Linked DNA regions of Zea mays. The protein of the gene in region 1 binds, or shares a complex with, the protein of each later gene. Links are inferred from orthologs where the notes say so. Each region holds a gene or a part of one and is shown on either strand. Other genes may lie near its edges. The genes, in order: Dolichol-phosphate mannosyltransferase subunit 1-like and Dolichol-phosphate mannose synthase subunit 3-like.

What was found.
Region 2: Dolichol-phosphate mannosyltransferase subunit 1-like (region 1) and Dolichol-phosphate mannose synthase subunit 3-like share a complex: the UniProt entries of both Arabidopsis thaliana proteins name them as parts of the dolichol-phosphate mannose (DPM) synthase complex. The link is inferred for Zea mays from reciprocal best matches to the Arabidopsis thaliana genes DPMS1 and DPMS3.

What each region holds. Positions count from the first base shown.
Region 1 is NC_050096.1:301,157,388-301,164,065, forward strand, and holds Dolichol-phosphate mannosyltransferase subunit 1-like, read left to right. Parts: upstream 1-2,708; 5' UTR 2,709-3,071; coding exon 3,072-3,178; intron 3,179-4,167; coding exon 4,168-4,267; intron 4,268-4,384; coding exon 4,385-4,418; intron 4,419-4,497; coding exon 4,498-4,574; intron 4,575-4,670; coding exon 4,671-4,696; intron 4,697-5,154; coding exon 5,155-5,319; intron 5,320-5,395; coding exon 5,396-5,510; intron 5,511-5,593; coding exon 5,594-5,698; 3' UTR 5,699-5,839; downstream 5,840-6,678. UniProt on the Arabidopsis thaliana protein: Transfers mannose from GDP-mannose to dolichol monophosphate to form dolichol phosphate mannose (Dol-P-Man) which is the mannosyl donor in pathways leading to N-glycosylation, glycosyl phosphatidylinositol membrane anchoring, and O-mannosylation of proteins; catalytic subunit of the dolichol-phosphate mannose (DPM) synthase complex.
Region 2 is NC_050096.1:289,684,568-289,690,968, forward strand, and holds Dolichol-phosphate mannose synthase subunit 3-like, read left to right. Parts: upstream 1-2,907; 5' UTR 2,908-3,584; coding exon 3,585-3,758; intron 3,759-3,845; coding exon 3,846-3,953; intron 3,954-4,148; coding exon 4,149-4,208; 3' UTR 4,209-4,471; downstream 4,472-6,401. UniProt on the Arabidopsis thaliana protein: Regulates the biosynthesis of dolichol phosphate-mannose. Regulatory subunit of the dolichol-phosphate mannose (DPM) synthase complex; essential for the ER localization and stable expression of DPMS1.

The DNA.
Region 1 (6,678 bases):
TGTCCCTGATCGCCCTCTCGCCCTGTGCAGAGGCTCGGGGGCTGCTCTCGCAAACCCGGCTCCGGCCGAACCGTTGACAGCGTCAACATACCAGCCCGAGAACTTGGGACCCGACCGTACACCCGGGCTACGGCCAGCTCGCATGAGGGAACGACCAGACCAACCGAAGCATTACGTGAGGCATTAAGACCTCGAAGGAGTGAAACCACTCCTCCGAGGCCTCGGGGGCTACACCCGGCGGGTGCGCTCGCGCGCACCCACCGGAACAAAACGCAACCGAGAAAGGCTGGTCCCCTTGCAAAAAAGTGCGACGAAAGCCTCCAAGCGAGTGCTAACACTCCCTTCGAGGCTCGGGGGCTACTGTCGGGGACCATAATTAGGGGTACCCTCAAGGCTCCTAATTCTCAGCTGGTAACCCCCATCAGCATAAAGCTGCAAAGGCCTGATGGGTGCGATTAAGTCAGGGATCAGTCCATTCGAGGGACTCGATCATGCCTCGCCCGAGCCTAGCCTCGGACAAGGGCAGCCGACCCCGGAGGATTTCCGTCTCGCCCGAGGCCCCCCTCCAGCGGCGAACATATTTCAGGCTCGCCCGAGGCCCTGCCTTCGCCAAGAAGCAACCCTGACCAAATCACCGCACCGACCGACCAAATCGCAGGAGCATTTAATGCAAAGGTGGCCTGACACCTTTATCCTGACGCGCGCCCCCCCAGCCGGCAGAGCCGAAGTGACCGCCGTCACTTCGCCGCTCCACTGACCGGCCTGACAGAAGGACAGCGCTGCCTGCGCCACTCCGACTGCGGTGCCACTTGACAGAGTGAGACTGACATGCAGTCAGGCCCTGCCGAAGGCACCATAGGAAGCTCCGCTTCGCCCGACCCAGGGCTCGGACTCGGGCTAAGTCCCGGAAGACGGCGAACTCCGCTCCGCCCGACCCAGGGCTCGGACTCGGGCAAAGTCCCGGAAGACGGCGAACTCCGCTCCGCCCGACCCAGGGCTCGGACTCGGGCAAAGTCCCGGAAGACGGCGAACTCCGCTCCGCCCGACCCAGGGCTCGGACTCGGGCTAAGTCCCGGAAGACGACGAACTCCGCTCCGCCCGACCCAGGGCTCGGACTTGGGCTCAGCCCCAGAAGACGACGAACTCCGCTCCGCCCGACCCTAGGGCTCGGACTCCGCCCCAGCCGACGGCCTCCGCCTCGCCCGACCCAGGGGCTCGGACTCGACCTCGGCCATGGAAGACAGACTCGACCTCGGCTTCGGAGGAGCTTCCACATCGCCCAACCTAGGGCGCAGGCCAGCCACGTCAACAGGAGGCGCCATCATCACCCTACCCCGAGCTGACTCGGGCCGCAGGGAACAAGACCGGCGTCCCATCTGGCTCGCTCCGCCAGATAGGCAATGATGGCGCCCCGCATACTCTGTGACGACGGCGGCTCTCAGCCCCCTTACGGAAGCAAGAGGACGTCAGCAAGGACTCAACCGCTCCGACAGCTGTCCCTCCACCAGGCTCCATTGCTCCTCCGACGGCCACGACATCACACCAGCTGGGTGCCAAAATCTCTCCGGCTGCCACAACGGCATGTACTTAGGGCGCTAGCTCTCCTCCGCTAGACACGTAGCACTCTGCTACACCCCCCATTGTACACCTGGATCCTCTCCTTACGCCTATAAAAGGAAGGACCAGGGCCCTCTTAGAGAGGGTTGGCCGCGCGGGGACGAGGACGAGACAGGCGCTCGCTTGAAGCCGCTCGCTCCCTCTCCCGCGTGGACGCTTGTAACCCCCTACTGCAAGCGCACCCGACCTGGGCGCGGGACGAACACGAAGGCCGCGGGATTCCCACCTCTCTCACGCCGGTCTCCGGCCGCCTCGCTTTCCCCCCTTCGCGCTCGCCCTCGTGCTCGACCCATCTGGGCTGGGGCACGCGGCGACATTCACTCGTCGGCTCAGGGACCCCCCGGTCTCGAAACGCCGACAAGTATATATTAATGAAAGAAGAAGCATACGAAACATGAGAGACAACATGAATAATTATACAACATCTTTAATATATCTTTGTTATACCACCATAAGTGAATACGAACAATATTGAATTACATTTATACCTTTGGTTTGACAGAAGGCGAAAGTCCAAGCGTGACGCAGGAATGAATACAAGTCAGTGTCCACAGTACGGGGTACTGTTCATCTATTTATAAGCACATGACGCAGCCTGGTCGGAATTACATTCATGTCCTCGATAAATAACTAAAAACATGACACAAACTGTCATGGACTGATTGGTCTTTTCCATTTTAAGTCGGTGCAACTCTTCGTCTTGAAATATGCCACTATGCCGAAGCTCCTTGATAGTAGCTTCGGCTTACATCTTCGTGCTGTGTTTTTACTTAAGGGACCTTCGGCGACGAAGCAGGCCCCAACAATAATCATGAGCATATTTTAGAATGGGACATCTATTCTACATGTAATGGTAGTAGGTTAACAGATAATTTTATAAATAACTCTTTCCACCATGTTAGTTAAATGAAAAGAGTTCTTCATAAAATTGGTTCTCTAACTATCTCTACTATTTATTTATTTTTTATTTTAATTTTCGCTCTGTAAACAATACAATGTGCGGTGTACACGACCGTAGATACGAGATGGATATGGATGTCATTTATGTCATCGATCATGGATGTCATTATGTCATTTGTATCCCTTTGAATCAGTTCCACGGTTCCTCCTCCTCCCTCTATTTCCCTGTCCAGACTGGTGGCCACAGCAGGGCACGCCGGCGACGCGCACCCGCCGGCAACCAGGTTTCCCGGCGCCGCCCCTTGTCTAGTTCTCAGCTTCTCCTCGCGGCGCCCCTTACTGGCTTCCTCTTCTTCCCAGACGGTGGCGCGTCAAGACTCCCCACCCGGCTGTCCGGCGAGGACCTCGGCTCCTCGCCCCTCCGCCGCTAAAGAGCCGCCATCCAGCCGCCCAGCCCCAGGCCCCACCGCCCCAGCTCCACCTCGGTCCCCTCGCCTCACCTCGACCCGGATTCCGCCCCTCGCCTCACCTCGACCTACATCTGCCTCGTCCCCATGGAGGCGGCGGCGAGCCGCAAGCGCGCGTACAGCATCATCGTGCCTACCTACAACGAACGCCTCAACGTCGCCCTCATCGTCTACCTCATCTTCAAGCACCTCCCGTAAGCACCTCCCACCGCCCAGATCCCTCTCTCCCGTTTGGCGCTGATCTGTCTCTCGCCGTTGCACCTTTTGCTGCCACGGTTGGGTCGAGATCGTCTTCGTGGTGAACGTTGTCGGATTCGATTTCGTTAGATCAGATGCCATTCGGTTGCGTGCGTCAACTGGATCGATTAGATTAATAACCTACTTAACAAGAATCAATCTGATCTGAATGTGTGAATGGAACTGACGATATCTGTTTAGGTGTTACCTTGCTTTGAGATCCAACTGCAGGCACCTGTCAATTATAAAGTAGAATCACTTGTTACTCAATTATTCGTCTAAATAGATGACACAGATTATTTATGTTCTCTCTTTGCTTCAATTCGAACTCTTTTATGTGGACATTAACCAGCCCTCCCTTGAGCTCTGCTTGCACATCTTACAGTATATAGTTGCAGAGTTCTAATGATGCCAGTACCGTTGAAGTGATCACTGTCCACTGTTTTTTTTTCTGAGAACAGGGAACGAAACAATTTTCTAGTGCTATTTTGGCAACATTGGAGCTAGAATTTGCTTCTTGTTTGTCGAAACCTTGAACTGTCAGTGGCAATCAGTTTCCTTCTTTTTTGTGTGTGTATTTGGACCTACAGGTCAGGTCATAGATACCCTTCATTCTAGTGCTTCCCTGCTGGGCGTGCCTAATTCACTCTATCAGACAAACAAAAACTTGCAAATTTTTTGTGAGTTCATCGGCTATGTCAAATGGGTGATGAGAATCTCTCCTGCTTGGATATCAAATGTACTATTAGGTATTACAACTTGCAACTGTTGGCTTGTTGTGTGTCCCTTTTCTTAGAATGTCACCATGCGTTAGACTGCCACTATTTAACTTCCATTGTTTGCTGGAGGCTTGCTACTATGGTGGAAAGGAAATTATTACATTCATATAGATATGTTGCCAAGTTCTTACATATTGTATCACCTGAGTTGACATTTTTTACCTCAGGGATGTGAACTTTGAGATCATTATTGTGGATGATGGTAGTCCAGATGGAACTCAGGACATTGTAAAACAGCTGCAGCAAGTATATGGTGAAGATTTTGTTGTAAGTAGCTTAAAAAAATATGTTCCTGGTCCACTTGAAGTTTTTGTACATATGATGTCAGTCTGTTTATTCAGTACCATGGCTTAATGCATTGTCTTTAACCTGATATGATGCTAGTTACTGCGAGCTAGGCCAAGGAAGCTAGGGCTTGGTAAGTTTAGACACCTGACTTCAATTTTTAGTGAAATTATTTCCCCTACTTATGTTAAGTAGCATCTGGAACTATCCAGGTACCGCATATTTACATGGACTAAAGCATGCCTCAGGGGAATTTGTCATTATCATGGACGCGGACCTATCTCACCATGTATAAATATTTCTTTTTTGTTACTATTTTTTTTTCTGTTTGCTATTTACAATATTTTTCTTCCTAGCTTGCTAACTATTTTCCCACCTTGAACAGCCAAAATACTTGCCAAGCTTTATTAGGTAAGAATCATATCTCTGAAGATATAAGAGTTAGTTAGTTTATACTACATGTTATTTTACATATATTAGTCCGCATCCTCAAATCTATTTTTTAGCACATATAATTCTCAGTCTGATTGTTCTCAAAATATATTTAGCGAGAAGAAAGGTTAATACTGTTACAGTTGTTGAATCCATTAGCTGAAAAATACATTTCAAGTAAAGGTTATCAGTTAGTCCCTTTGGCCTCCTCATTGAGGGTACTGAAATGTACCCCCTCCCAAAATATAGGTCTTTCTAGCTCTCTTTTTTTTCGTCCACATTCGAATGGATGATAATGACTGTAGATATACATACAAACTACATTTATAGGTTGATTAATGAATTTTTGTTTAGTCTAAAACAAATTATATTTTGGGACGGATGGAGTAGTAATTTAAATAATTGTCTTTTTTAACCATGTTATTTTCCTTAACCAGGAAGCAAAAGGAAACTGGAGCTGACATTGTAACTGGCACACGTTATGTTAAGAATGGTGGTGTCCATGGTTGGAATCTCATGCGCAAGCTGACTAGCAGAGGTGCAAATGTTCTTGCACAAACGTTACTGCAGCCTGGAGCTTCAGATTTAACCGGATCATTTAGGTCTGCCTTTCTTTTATCTCGAACAGAATAAACACCCACCTTTCAGTCACCTCTTTTGATGAGCGTATCATAATAGGCTATATAAGCGAGATGTCCTGGAAGACTTAATCTCCTCATGTGTCAGCAAGGGCTACGTGTTCCAGATGGAGATGATTGTTAGGGCTACAAGGAAAGGTTATCACATTGAAGAGGTATGCACCGTGCTGTCTCATTTTTCATCGATCATCTCTTGACTCTGGTAAATGGATCGTTGATTGCTCCCTCTCCTCTCCAGGTTCCAATAACGTTTGTGGACAGAGTATTTGGAATTTCAAAACTTGGCGGGTCCGAGATAGTTGAATATTTGAAAGGCCTTGTTTATCTTCTGCTCACAACATGATTGAAGATATATAGTAGGCTTCTGGTTTGTGGGTACAACCGTGTTACATTACAGAGAATTTTACTGATGTGTTATTAATGCAGCTTGAATTGTAACAGTACCACCATTACGCATGTTTCCAGTGGATGGATTATTGTACTCAATTCTTGGTTTTCTCTGTACACTTTATCAGTCTCTACGGGACGGTTCTTTGCCACTTTAGGGCTTGTTCGGTTACACCAATCCAGAAGGGGATTGGAGGAGATTAAATCCCCTCCAAGTCAAAAATGACTAGGAGAGGATTTAAACCCTTCCAATCCTCTTCTGGATTGGTGTAGCCGAACATGCCCTTAGCATGAATGAGCCACCCACCTACTTTAGTTGGATCACCCACATGCTCTTTAGGTGATCATTAAACTTTCGATTGCCACCAAACCGTCTAGATCATGTCTGTCATTGTGCAACTACACCAAAGTATGTAGAGTACTGAAATGGAGAGTATTGGAGAGAGTTGTGTGTGTGTGTGTGGGGGCGGGGGGGGGGGGGGGGGTAGGTTGACGATGTGTTGAATGTAGGCATGGCCAGGAATCAACATGCAAACAATTTTGTGTCCTCTTGTATATGGTGATTGATAGACACAAAGGAGAACAAGATTACAAGTTACAATATAAATCGAGCAGCATGACTTGCTAGCTCTCCCTTCCCTCTTAGCCTACCCTTGGGAGTTCTATTCTAGTTTCTCCCTCTTGACCAAGCATGGACGCTCTACTTTGTCTTTAGTTTGGGTTACCATAGATTGTCTGAACCTTCAATTGTGTGCATATTAGCCTAATTCAAATGAATCATGTTCTCAGTTCTACTCCCTTTTAGACCATGTCTAGTAGTTCATCCATATGATCACCCAAAACACTGTTTTGTATTGTATACTGTACTATTCACAGAGTGGAGTTGGAATATAGGTATGAAGATGGGTAAGCTGATGGAGATGACCTTATAGCCCA
Region 2 (6,401 bases), about 11 Mb from region 1:
AAATCAAATCAATCCGAGAACTGATATATACTTGAGAAACACCTCCCCTATTGTACTTTTAGTAAGGCTAACTCGTACTAGCTTCCCTAATTAATTAGCCAAGTCCAGAGCCATAATAGTCCTTATGGCTGTACTGTTTTCGAGGTTGTCATTCCATGTTTCAATTATACATAGTGATCTTGTAAATAACATACAATAGCAATAAAACAATATCCACACAAATAAAATAATATCCATCTTTCATATATAACATTATCCCATAAACCAAGTAAAACACTAGCATGTCTACCCAATAATAAGTAAACCAGGTGTCAATAAGGTACAAGGGAAACAAAACTAGGCATCACCTAATAGGTCCCATTGAAAGTCGCCTAGAGGGGGTGAATAGGCGTAATCTAAAATGTACAACTTTAAACACACACTAAGCCGGGGGTTAGCGTTAGAACTAAAAATAAGTCCGGGAGAGAGGGAAACAAATCAACCAAGAAATAATGCGAGTGAACACGATGATTTGTTTTACCGAGGTTCAGTTCCAAAGAACCTAGTCCTTGTTGAGGAGGTCACAAAGACCGGGTCTATTCCAACCCTTTCCCTCTCTCAAACGGTCACTTAGACCGAGTGAGCTTTCTTCCTTATTCTCACGGGTCACTAAGACCCCGCAAGGACCACCACACACTTGGTGTATCTTGCCTCGCTTACAAAGCACTTGAGAATAAGAATGGGAAAAGAAGAAAGGCAATCCAAGCGGCAAGAACTCAAATGAACACAAAAATCTCTCTCACAAACCACTACGTGTTTGGAGTGAATTTGGGACTTGGAGAGGATTTGATCTTTTGTATTGTGTCTTGGAGTGAATGCTAGAGCTCTTGTATTGAATGTGATGTTCAGAAAACTTGGATGCTTGGAGTTGTGGTGGTTGGGAGGTATTTATAGCCCTCAACCACCAAAGTAGCCGTTGGGGAGGCTGATGTCGATGGGTCCGGTGCGCCACCGGACAGGCACTGTTCCCTGTCCGGTGCGCCGCCATGTCACCCTACCGTTAGGGTTCTGGAGGAGTCGACCATTGGCGTTGTTGTCTTCTTGTGGCACCGGATAGTCTGGTGGTGCACCGGACGGTCCGGTGCCGCTCTGACTCGCTGCTCTGACTTTTGCCGCGACACTGTAGCGCTGTCAGAGTCGACCATTGCGTGCAGGTAGCCGTTACCCCGCTGGCTCACCGGACAGTCCGGTGAATTATAGTGGAGCGTGCCTGCGTTTTTCCCGAGAGTGGCTGGTTGAACCCTGTACGGACCTGGTGCACCGGACACTGTCCGGTGGCACACCGGACAGTCCGGTGCGCCAGTCCACAACATACTCAAGTCCTTTTTGCTCCTTTTGAATTGGGTCCCTAACTTGAATATTTATTGGTTTGTGTTGAACCTTATGCACCTGTAATACATGAATTCTAAAGCAAACTAGTTAGTCTAATTATTTGTGTTGGACATTCAACCACCAAAATTAATCGTAGAAAAAGGTTAACCCTATTTCCCTTTCACCCATCAATTTAACCTAACAATGCAATGTATATGTGATAACATAATAGTAAATATTATATAGATCAAAAAATGTAATTAGGGACATAACTTGCCTTTTAAAGCAAGATCCTCCTACCTAGAGTCTTCACAATCTTGGTATTCCGATTGCTCTACCGAGAATTTCTTGATAGTGATTTTATGGAATAGGCCACGATAACAAGATTGGAAGGTAAAGTGCACAATAACATAATATTTAGACTTGTTCGAACTCTCATCGTAAGATAATACCCTACATCCAGTGTTGTCCAGCTAGTGTTTTAGTGGCTATTGATCTGTTGTGTTATGGTCTACGCTATCGGGGGCTCCCCCGCCACTCCTTTTATAATCCAAGGAGAGGAGCAGTTACAAGGGTGAACACGGGTAGGTTACATGATAGGTCTAATCTGGTAACCTAGTCGTACAAAAAATCCAACTCTCTATAATTACAAGTGTGCCTTCCTTATATGTTAAGATCTTGCCCAATCCGCTTAGGACTCTATCTTATATGTTGAGATTTTGTCCTATCTATTTAGGACTCTGGCTTGTCTCTCCTATTCTAATAATATATTTGCCATATTTATACTTCGGAGTTCTCTTTATATTAAACATCTTAATAATCATGACAACTGAGTCCAAGGACTCTAGATAGGAGACGACTCCGATGAGTGAGCCCCACATGCTAGTCAGTGCGATTGAGAGTCCACACGTGCAAACACTATCCTAAGGAAAAAAAACAGATTCGCTACTCCTTGGACCTGGTTCGACGCGGGTGTGGAGAAAGTGGGTCGCCCACTAAGGTTTAGAATTTATCGTCGAAATATTTATTTTCTTGTTTATTTTAAAGACTTCAAATGAATCAAGGGTTAGGCCCCTCCCCACATCTCCTGTCTCCCTTTTTTAGGAAAGTTGAGGGTTGGTTTTCATTATTTCTCATGCTGGAGTTTGTATTTACAAATGAGCTTTTAGAACTACAAATGTTTCTTAATCATTATTTTACAAGAATCTTGACTATGTAATTACTAATGGAAGTTACTAACATTCAATACACACCCAACACATAACTTAAAGCATCGGGTACACATTGAATTATGTGATGGTATGTCAAAAGATGATAGAAAGAAAAAGGAAAAAGGAAAATAAATGAAAAAAGAAGAAGAAAAAGAAAAGAAAATGATTAGTATGGACTTTTATTCAGTGGCCCATCTAAAAGCCCATCAATCAGCACAAACCCAAGTTCCACAAGACCCACACGTTTCTTTACTTTCAAGTCTCAACCTTTTCACTGATCCAGCGAAGGCATACTGCCGCCGCCGTTTCTGCATCTCCCATCTTCGCAACGCCGGCGCTCCATCTTGCGCTCCCTCCCTCACTCGCTCTCGGTACGCAGGCGGCGGCGGCGGCGGCGGTGGCGGCTCTCAGATTCGGGCTCTCAGCGACGGCGTCAGCAGCTTCCACTCCCGCCTCTCGCCAGTTGCCTCGCGCCCTCGCCTCCGGTCCTCCGCACACCGCCGGTTACCCTTCGTGCGTGCCTCTCTCTCTCTCCTCCCGCCTCCGGTGGATCGTCAACGGCGCCCAGCCCCGGCGGCTGCGCCGCGCGCGGCCTGAGGGCAGCGGGAGCCAGCAACCGCTGCCCCACCAAGGCGGTCGCGCCGCTTTGGGAGCGCATATGCCCCAAAGCGAAAGCAAAACGTTACCCGTTCGCTTAGCGCTTCAGCGTGCGCTTACCGCCGCTTGTTGAACCCTGCTCATTCTCAAAGGTCTATACAGTTTGCCCAGCAATCAATCTAGAGTACCTGTGTTCAACCAAACCCACCAGCAGCAGCATGAAGATGGCCCAAAATCAACCTTTATAACGGCTTATATGTTAGGATCTATGTTTTGGAGAAATTTGCAATTTCGCCACCTAGAGTGTTGCTCTCTTGCTATTATGCCATGCCACCTGTGTCTATGATCTGTGGACCTGTCTGTCTATGATTTGTGGATCCGATGGCAAATTAGCGATGCCCAGCGTTTTGAGTGGAAAAATTGCAAATGCCTCTATGTTTTGCTTTTCATCTTGTTATTTTTTTTCTTTTTTATGACAGTAAAACACCTCATCCCCAAATGAAGCACATATTCAAGATTGCTGCAATACTGGTAGCAATCTCTGCTATCTGGATTGCTCTCCTTGAAACCTCCACTGTTCCTCGAAGTTATACTTGGCTGGTCAGTGTCACTGATTTTTGCTAGTAAATATCTTAAAAAATAGTGTGAAGTAGTAGTTCGTTTATGAATTGGTTATTTCTGTTTCAGCTTCCCATCTACTTGGTAGTGGCTCTTGGATGCTATGGCCTTTTTATGGTTGGATTTGGACTTATGTTCTTCCCAACTTGTCCTCGAGAAGCTGTACTACTGCAACAGGTTAGCTATTTTAATGTGAGGCTAAACTGCAGAACCCTCGAAACTTCTTGAGCTGTATTTGCAGTACATCTCATGGATCATACAGATCATGACAAAGAAATCAATGCCAAATGATATTCTTTTTTTTTGGGGGCTGTTTGAGTATGATCATACCCTGGTTTATTCTCATTTGTCCAAGATTGGCGTATTATGCAGGATATTGTGGAGGCAAAGGAATTCTTAGGAAAGAGGGGTGTTGATGTGGGCTCTGAGTGAGATCAATTTTAAGTGGTTGACATACATGTCTGTTTTGAAGGATCACCATTCTGTTCCTTGGAATAGGTTGCTTTTTTGGGTACTGTAGATAGGAAACATATAATTCCACTATGTTCAGCTATTACTAACACGGTTTTTGTGAGTTGGCATGTTATAGTTCTGCTTTTGTCAATGATGGGGCTCACATTGACTTGCCGGTGTTTTTCAAGTTTTAAAGACTGAACTGTTCTAGGAATATTTGGTTTCTATCTTGATTTCCCGTCAGTGGACCATTTACCAATTCTGCTGTTCAGTATGTCACCTTATGCGTTATGACATCACTTGTACTCGCAAGTCCCTTCGAGGATTCAGTGTTTGAATTTCTCTGCAGTACTTGCAAAGTTTCTTTCATTCAATATGGCATGTTACAAACTACAGTTAACAGATATTCTGATCTTTTTAATGCCATAATTGCTAACAATGAGCTCATTGACATCAGAATGTCAGGTGGTAAATATACTTGCTCAACTAATAAAAGGTTTTATACCCTTGAAAAGCTAGATCGAAGCCTGATGACTAAGAGCCGGTAAGATTTATATCCTAGAGTGCTGTGCTATAAAATGCCAAGGGAAATTTTGACTGAAAGGCTATCCAATCATTAATCAATGATAGTATTGATCAACTAGGGGTTACATATATAGGACAGCAACCCTAGGGCATATGGTGTCGCTAAGTTGGCCAAGTACAGCGGGTGCAAGGCCGCAGGCCTCGCCGTGCCATACAGGGATTCTAATACTGGCCACAATTCCCTGATTTTAATCACAACCAAGCTGCCAGTAGACATCTTTTTTGTTTTGAGCTTGCCCAAACATGCTGGCTTTTTACCCCTAGTGGAAGATATTTGGACAAAACCATATTACGCTAAATCAGTTTCAGACAAAATTCCAAAAGAAACTTATAGAGGAATGAATTTGCAGGTTCTAAGGGCAGGGGTTTTAATTTGCAGGTTGAAATTAGGAAACAAAGAGCAAAACTTAGATTTTATGGTCTTGGAACTTATAGAGGAAGGTCTGCTATCACAGGATCAATTCCATGATAAATCAGCTAAACTAGCTGACTGTTGAACATACTGGAAAAATGGGAAACTATATTGGCTACAGAGATCCCATGCAACATGGTTTCTCAAAGGGGACAGTAACACAGAATAGTTTCATGGAGTTGCAAATAGTATAAAAAGGAACAATACAATTCTCAACCTTCATGGTGGTGAAAACATCATAGAGGGTGATAGTAAACTTTTCCAGTTGCTACTAATTATTATGAGAACTTCGGTCCAGCACCTAGAAATATTTTTCCTATTGATCTCATCTGCGAAGCTGTTCTAAAAATTGATGAAAAAGACAATATCCTTTGCAAACCTCTTTTCTGAAAATGAGATTAAAGATGTTACTGCCTGTCAGCATTCCTATAGACTTTTATCTGGCCTGCTGGAACTACAAATTTATTTCAAGACGTTTGTAATGTTTTATTAGATGTAAGCAGAGTCATCACACCCTTTTCTGAAGTGGTTGATGCTGATAGAATTTTTTTTTAAAAAAAATCCAGGCACATCTAATTACTAGTTCTGATTCTTGGGTTAGAACATTTTACTGAAATTTATTAAAAAAAAGCTCAATCTGCCCTTATGAGCGGAATTATGGCCTTCCAAGAAATCCTCCATGAAACAAAAAGGTGAAAATAATGTTGTTTGGTTTTTGAAAACGACTTTGACAAGGCATATGGCAAAGTCATTTTGGGAAGTTTTTGTTCACTTTCTTATAATGAGAAAATTTAGTGAAAAATGGTGCAACTGGATTAGTAAAGCTGTCAAAGGGTGGTATTGTAACTGGTGAAGCTTAATGGCCAAATTGGTCCGTGGACCCTTATCACCATTTTTTTTAACTTCACAGCTGATTGCTTGTCTAAAATTGTTGAACACGCTTTTAGTAACGTTTTAATTACTGGGCTGACATATAATCTAATTCCCGAAGGCATTGCTATTTTGCAATATGCCAGTGACACTATCGCATGTCTTAAATTTGACATGGAAAATTGTTAGAAAGCTGAAATTGTTGCTGTATATGTGTATGAAATGGTACTTGAGCTTAGAATCAATTTCAAGACTAAAGTTATCTTGATTAATGGTGATGAGGATAAATGCACCTTCTAGGGAGT